Linked DNA regions of Neurospora crassa OR74A. The protein of the gene in region 2 purifies or fractionates together with the protein of the main gene of each other region. This does not show direct contact. Links are inferred from orthologs where the notes say so. Each region holds a gene or a part of one and is shown on either strand. Other genes may lie near its edges.

Evidence for each region. The genes of interacting proteins can lie anywhere in the genome.
Region 1: the proteins of NCU08920 (region 2) and NCU05270 purify together in Saccharomyces cerevisiae (affinity purification with mass spectrometry, with the first as the bait; 3 studies listed by BioGRID). This does not show direct contact. The link is inferred for Neurospora crassa OR74A from reciprocal best matches to the Saccharomyces cerevisiae genes ARB1 and FUN12.

Annotation. Positions count from the first base shown.
Region 1 is NC_026504.1:5,514,641-5,518,388, reverse strand, and holds the start of NCU05270 (mitochondrial translation initiation factor IF-2), read right to left. Parts: upstream 2,715-3,748; 5' UTR 2,427-2,714; coding exon 1,914-2,426; intron 1,819-1,913; coding exon 1,303-1,818; intron 1,229-1,302; coding exon 1-1,228. Other genes in the region: NCU05271 (hypothetical protein), read right to left, coding at 3,579-3,748. UniProt on the Saccharomyces cerevisiae protein: Plays a role in translation initiation. Translational GTPase that catalyzes the joining of the 40S and 60S subunits to form the 80S initiation complex with the initiator methionine-tRNA in the P-site base paired to the start codon.
Region 2 is NC_026505.1:623,211-626,958, forward strand, and holds the start of NCU08920 (ATP-binding cassette sub-family F member 2), read right to left. Parts: upstream 2,294-3,748; 5' UTR 1,805-2,293; coding exon 1,232-1,804; intron 1,162-1,231; coding exon 20-1,161; intron 1-19. UniProt on the Saccharomyces cerevisiae protein: ATPase that stimulates 40S and 60S ribosome biogenesis.

The DNA of each region.
Region 1 (3,748 bases), on a different chromosome or scaffold from region 2:
CATCGATGGTCATACCGAAACCCTCGATGGCCTTGACTTCGAGAACGGTAGCCTGGACCTCGGAGAGGTACATGAGAGAGCCAACCATGCGCTCCTGGGTAAGCTGGACAATGAGCTTCAACATGTCGGGGATACCCTCGCCGGTGTGGGCAGAGGTGGGGACCAAGGAGACGTATTTGGCCATGGACTTGTTCTGGTAGAAGAGCTCCGAGTTGAAACCCTGCTCGGCGAAGGCGAGCTTGGTCTGCTCGAGACGGTTCTTGAACTCGTTCTGGACAGCCTTGTTCTGGAGGGCCAACGACTCCTGGAAGCCGTTGTTCTCGATCTTCTTCCAGCCGTAAAGACGATCGATCTTGTTGAGAGCGACGATGAAGGGCGTCTTCCTCTCACGGAGCAGTCTCATGGACTCGAGAGTCTGGGGTTCGAGACCGTGCATGATATCGACAACCAAGATGGCGATGTTGCAGAGCGAAGAACCACGCGAACGCAAGTTGGAGAAAGACTCGTGACCGGGGGTATCGATGATAAGAAGACCGGGAACCTTGAACTCGAACTTGCCGTCCCTGTTGACGACGTGCGTCTTCTGCTTGATGGCCTCAACGGGGAAGTAAGTGGCACCAATCTGCTGAGTGATACCACCGGCTTCACCCTCCTGGACGTTGGTCTGACGAATCTTGTCGAGCAGCTTCGTCTTACCAGTATCGACGTGACCAAGAATACAGCAAATAGGCGAGCGGAGGTTGTCCGCAGACCTGGCAGCCAGAGCGGCCTGGTGAGCCTTCTCGCGGCGCTCGGCAGCCTCCTTCTTCCTCCGGGCCTCCTCCAGTTCCCTGGCGGTAGCCTCCTCGTCTTCAGAAGATTCCTCTTCAGATTCCTCCTCAGACTCGGACTCGGACTCGGACTCCTCCTTCTTGGCCTGAGTCTTGCCGTTGGCCGCGGCGGGCTTAGAAGCCTCCTTCTTGGTCTCTTCCTTCTTGGTCTCCTCCTCCTCGTCGGAGTCGGCGTCCCAGCTGTCCTTGACATCCTCCTTGTCAGAGGCAACAGCGGCCTCCCAGTCCTCGTCGACGCTGTCCTCAGCGGCGGCCTTGGCGGCCTCAGCCTTGGCAGCAGCCTCCTTCTCGGCCTTCTCGCGCTCGATGCGGGCCTTCTCCTCTTGCTCCTTGACCAGAGCCTCAGCGGCGAGTCTTGCGCGCTCAGCGGCCTCGGCGAGAGCCTTTTCCTCGTCCTTCTGTAGCAAGTAGACACTGGTTAGCGCCGTCCATAGTATACCGTAATTGTAGCAAGAATCCCGGACAGACTCACCTTCTTGTTAGCAGCCCTCTTCTTCTTGTCGTCGTAGACAGGCTTCTTCTTGGACTCTTCACCCTCGAGCGCGTTGACCTTGATACCGGCCGCCAACATCTGCTGCAGCTTCCTCTCGTTGCGGGCCTTCTCCTCCTTCTGGGCCTTGGTCATGAACTTGCCCTCCTTCTTGAGCTGCTCGATCCTCTGCTTCTCCTTCTCCTTCTTGCGGGCGCGCTCCTCCTCCTTGCGCTTGGCCTCCTCGGCAGCGGCGCGCTCCTCCTCCTCTATCCTGGCCTTCTCCTCGGCGAGGAGCCTAGCCTCCTCCTCTTGGCGACGGCGCAGCTCCTCCTGCTGCTTCTGGAGGGCGAGCAGGTGGGCGGGGAGCTTCTTCTTCTTGCCACCGGCGGCGGCTTCGGGGGCGGGAGTGGAAGCGGGGGTCGAGACGGGGCTGGGGGTTTCGGCCTTCTTCTCCTCCTTTGCGGGCTCGGCCTTGGCGGCGGCGGCGGGTGTGGTGCCCTTCTTCTTAGCAGCAGCCTGTTTAGTGAAAAGAAGTTGTTGTTAGTCTTCCGTTTGTGTCTGATGTATGTATAGTCATTAGTGGGTAATAGTGATAATGACTGGGTACTCACCTGCTCCTTCTTGCGCTGCTTCTCACGCTCCTTCTTGAGCTTCTCCTTCTCGGCCTTGGTCAACACCCTAGGGCCATCCTCATCGGCAGCATCCTCGTCCTTCTTGGCGGCGGCGGCGGGAGCAGCCTTCTGTTGCTGCTGCTGCTGCTTGCCCTTGCCACCCTTGCCCTTCTTCTCGGGGAGAGCGAACTCGTCGTCGAGGTTGGCCTCCTCGGCGACCTTGGCCGACAGATCGGGGACGGGCTCGGCGGCAGCGGGCTTCTCGGCGCCGGGAGCGTCTTCGCCCAGCTCAGCCTCCCAGTCGTCGGCAAGACCCTTCTTCTTGCGCTTCTCCTTGGCCTTGCGCATTCTCTCCATCAGACCGCCACCACCGGAAGCGGCCTCGTCGTCGGCGGCAGCGGGAGAGGCGGCAGCAGCATCGGCGCCGTTGTTGTTGACGGGGGCGATGGACTCGCCCAGCTCGGCCTCCCAGTCATCGTTGGCCTTCTTGTTTCCCTTCTTCTTGGGCGCCATGTTGGGCTAACTGGACTGTTGGTAGTCGACCGGGGAATACCTTGAGGCGGGGATGTCGTCGGTAGGATGGGCGGGGGAGAGGATCCTGATGGGCTCTCCTTCTCTCCTTGTGACGAAAGTCGAAGTCCGGGTGAAGACCTCGTTGCTCGCTAGGTGGTTCTGGTGGTGGGTTCGTGGGGCGGCCGACTGGGGCTACTGGGCCGTTATATGCGATATGGCTGGCTGCTAAAGAAGGCAGGCGGCGTACTTTTTTTGGTGCTGTAGGTCCCCCCTTGTCGACGGGATAGGGCTTGTCACTTGTATCACTTTTCGGTGGTGGTGCTGCAGAGTGGATCGATGGTACTGTAGGTACTTGGCACCGTGGATCTTTTTTTTTTCTTTCGTTGTTCTTTGTATCGAATCCCGCTCTGGTTTGTTGCTACACTATATAGAGGTCAGGTACGTACCTATCTCAGTACCTGTACTTACACCGTCTGCCTATGCGCTTTCTTTCAACCCGTATAAAGTGTTTGGTATTGTCTCCGTCTACGGTCAAAAAACGGCAATCATGTCCCGTTCTCTAACTCAATCCCAAGTAGTCGAAGTCGCAAAGTCAAAGGAGTCTCGATTCAGCAGAAAAATCCAGACAAGGATCGCCACTCCAAACTTTTTTTTTTACTTGTGCCGGAGCCAGGAGGTGTCGCTTTGACCAAGCCCTTGACTTGACACTGCACAGACTGTTGGAGACAGCAGTCAAGACAAATACAGTACAGTACAGTGCAGTGGTGAAAAAGAAGTGGAAGCTCCTGCACTCCCGCGTACAAGTACAGTGACCGACTCGTTGGTGCAGAATGCGGGGCACCTGCTTGTTAAGGCACAAGTGGGGCACTTGCTGGGCTAATTTCTGTATTTACTTTCTACCACTTTGGTGTATTTTGTGCGATATTCCATCCAAGGGGGCAGGCCAACTCCCTCACCTTGTCATAATGGGTATTTCATTAACCAGATGTTGCTAGTGATATTCTTTATTCGCTTTTCTATTATGCTGTAGCTACACCACCAAGGCATTCATCAGGACGGCTTGTAGGCCGACACTGGATCACACGTCCGTTTATTACCAGTGTATCTTGCCCTTCCCCCCCCCCCCCCCCCCCGCCTTAGAATTCCAAGCACTTAGTAAACTTGCCTAAGATAATACATCAACACGTTATACGCCAGTTCAAAATACTGGTCCGCAGTGCCCTCGCCCATCCACTCAGCAGTATGTTTGCCTCCATCCAACTTATCCAACAGGCTCTTGAACCGCGCCAACAGCTCCTCCGTGTTGATCAGCTCTTGCAAGA
Region 2 (3,748 bases):
AAGTGGGAACAAAACTAACCTGAAATCGTGAGAAACGACGATAACACCACCGGTGAAAGCGTTGATGGCATCGGCAAGCGAGTCAATGGTGGGGATATCGAGGCCGTTGGTAGGCTCGTCGAGCAAGAGCATGTTGGGAGACTCGATGGCGAGAAGGGCGAAGACAATACGGGACTTCTGACCATCGGAAAGAGTACCGATGAGCGAGGTCTGGGCCTCACCGGAGAGACCGTACTTGCCAAGCTGCTGGCGCCAGTACTGGTAGTCCTGAGACTTGTCGGGGTACTTGTCACGGACGAAGTCGAGAGCCGACTTGGTCAGGTCGAGCTGCTCAGCAGAGTGCTGGGAGTAGAGACCGAGCTTCAAGTGGGTGTGGCGCTGGACGACACCATCGGTGGGGGAGAGCTTGCCGGTCATGAGACGGAGCAGGGTGGACTTGCCAACACCGTTGGGGCCGACAAGAGCGGTACGGGAGTCCATGTCGAAACCGAGATCGATGTGGCGGTACAGGTCGTCCTTGGGGTCGCCAGAGTACGAGAAGGTGACGTTGTCGAACGACAGAACGGGAGGAGGGAGCTTCTCGACATCGGCGAAGCGGAAGGAGAAGACTCTGTCCTGCTTGACAGGCTGGATGAAGCCGTCGGCCTCCATCTTGTCGAGAATCTTCTGGCGAGACTTGGCCTGACGGACCAAGTTGGCGTAGGTACCAGCGCTAGCAATGAACTTCTTGATGTGGGCAATTTCATCCTGCTGCTTCTGGTAGGCCTTCATCTGGTTGGTCTCCTGCTCGGCGCGGGTCTTGTGGTAAGTGTCGTAGTTACCACCATAGTAGATGAGGGTCTGGAGGCGCATGTCGATCATGCTTGTGCAGACACCGTTGAGGAAATCCTCGGAGTGAGAAACCAGGACGAGGGTACGGTCCCACTTCTTGAGGTATTCTTCCAGCCACACGCAGGCCTCGAGATCCAAATGGGCAGTAGGGTCGTCGAGAAGGAGGAGGGTGGGCTTGACGAAGAGGGCCTTGGCGAGGGCGACACGCATACGCCAACCACCGGACATGTCCTTGGTCTTCTTCTGGATGGTCTGCTTGTTGAAACCGAGACCGGTCAAAATGAGGGAAGCGCGGGTCTCGAAGGTGGAGGGATCCATCTTGTCAATGTGCTGTGATGGCAGAGTTAGTATTGTGAATGCGCCCAGTTCGGTGTGATCATAGGATTTGGGGGATACATACATCGTAGAGGTCCTCGAGGAGGGGCGAATCGGGGCCCTCTTCCTCAAGAATCTTCTCGGCGACGCTCTCGAGGCGCGCCAACTCGTTCTTGGCCTCGGTGACGACCCAGTCAAGGGCACCGAGCTCGCTGGGAGGAGCACCCTCGTTGAGAAGGTAGATGTCGACGTGCTCGGGAATGGGGTACTCGCGGGCGGCGATGGCCTTGAGAAGGGTGGACTTGCCGCAACCGTTCTCACCCAAAAGACCGTACCTGCGGCCGAGGGTAAGCTCGAGAGTGGCATCCTTGATCAGGACGCGGCCGTGGAAGACGAGGGAGACGGAGGTGATCTTGACGTCCTTGGAAGCCTTGGTAGAGGCCAAGACACCGGTGGTGACACGATCCGAGAGACCGTGCTTGTCCATCTGTTGGGCGAGGCGCTTGACCTCGTCCATCTGCTCGCTCTTGGTAGCGGGCTCATCCGAGACGACGGGCTTGCCAAAAGCATCGAGCTCGACTTCCTTGGCGGCCTTGCCCTTGTTGGCCTTGGCGGCCTTCTCGGCGAGGCGCTTCTGCTTGGAGGCGGAGGGCGGCATCTTGAGTGATGATTCTGTGGTTGATTTGGTTTGGTGGAGTTGTGTTGGTGACGATGCACAAACACGAAGGGATACCTTTGGGGGGGGGTTGAAAAAAAAGAAGGTGTCGAAAGAATCTAGTTCTCTCTAAACAGAATCACCAAACAAATAGTGATGGAGACTGGAGGGAGTGGTGGGCGGACTAAGAAGGAATCCGATCGAAAACACACACACTCTGGACAGACAGACGAAAAAACCGACCGTCGAGCACACAAGGGGAAGTGGAAAGGAAAAAAGAGAGCAAGCAAGACGGGGACAGTCAAAGTCAAATGTCGGGTTCGGTCGAAGGCAAAGAATGATTGGGGGTCCAGTACACGTTCTTGGCTTGCGATTTTGCTTGTACCCAACCAGGCCTGCCAGGGCAGAAGAGGTGGGGGGGGCGATTGCACTGTCACTGCCAAAACTTCAAAGCGGCGGGGCGGGCGACAAGGACTCGAGCCTCCCTCCGTCCTTCACTCACAGTGGCTCTGCCAGGGACCTAGAGTATGGTGGGGCTTTGAATTTTCACAAATTCTCTGATAACGATTTGCTGATACTGCCCGCCAAAAGCCATCTGATAAGGAACCAGCCTTGGCAAGGAATTACCAGACCTCCCGTCTACATACACTAAAGGTAGGTAGCGGTCAGGCCACAAGGCAACAACGGCTGGCTTATCGTCTGCTTATCGGTTGGTCAGCGCTCCAACGAAACGATGCATTCGACAACTTTTTGGAATCTTTTTTTTTTGTTCAACTCTGGCCCGAGTGCTGGCTTGGCTAGACCCTCAAAAAGAACAATGGCAAAGATGAAAGACGATTCACTATGCGATTTGTGAGAAAATATCCATCCCTCCGTCCGTCCTCACCGTCTTGCTCTGCCACATCCGTTTCAGCTCGTTCATGCACACAATCCAGCAAACACTTTTCCATCAGCGACTTGCACTTGTCGAATTGCTACACGTGTTGGGGCAGACGCTCGTTCTCGGTTGACGTCACAATCCACCCCCCACCGCTGCATGTGCCACTGTTTGCATCGCTTACCTCATCAACTCTTTGGGTGGCTGAACCGACTGTTGAGCTTTGGTCGGAGTTCGTTGCTCACAGCAGCACGTGGTTTGGCCATTTGCATTCAGTATCAGGTACAGTCATTGTGAATCACGCAGAAACATGCCAGGGAGCCCAAGTCATTTCAGTTCAGTGCCTGTCATCACCGACACTTTTGTAAATCTTTGTATCGTCGATGGGACACCACGGTGGTTTTCATAGTACATGTTGCCCATCCGCAGGGTTATGTTTGGTGCCTTGGTGTGACGCTTGGTCGGAATGCAGAGCTGGATGGACCCTGAGGCCTGAGCAGACCTCGACGCCTCGAGACTCAGACGCGTTGCCACTCTGGAGGAGTGTGAATTCGATTCTTCTGGTGTCCTTGCTTTTCCTCCTCTTTATCCCCGAAGGGCAGGGAGACCCTGAATTACCGTCTCGCATGCAATTTCAGGCGGGCCCGAGTCTTTGCGGTACTGGACTTACGGCATCCGAAAGAGACCCACAATTCCCGCTCAGGTCCCGGGCCCAGCTCCGGCTCCGGGTCTAGCTCCAGTTCCGACTTCCATCAACCGAGATCCCAACCCGCCCTACCTAACCCAACCCTGAAGTACAAGGAAGACCTACCGTCTATCCGATGCTGGACCCCCAAACCAAAACCTGAATCCAAATCGGTCAGATCGGATCAGATTGCGCAACGGTAAAGATGATAACACTTCATGCCCCCGGGCATCTTACACATCATAAACACTCACTCCAATTGGCAAGTGATGTAGCTACTACCTATTTATATTCCAGTTGAGCGTTTGGGCAGGAGCTTCTGGCAATCGCTACGGAGTGAAGGGGAATCAGTGTGGTGAGATATACGTATATGTTTTCAGTTAAC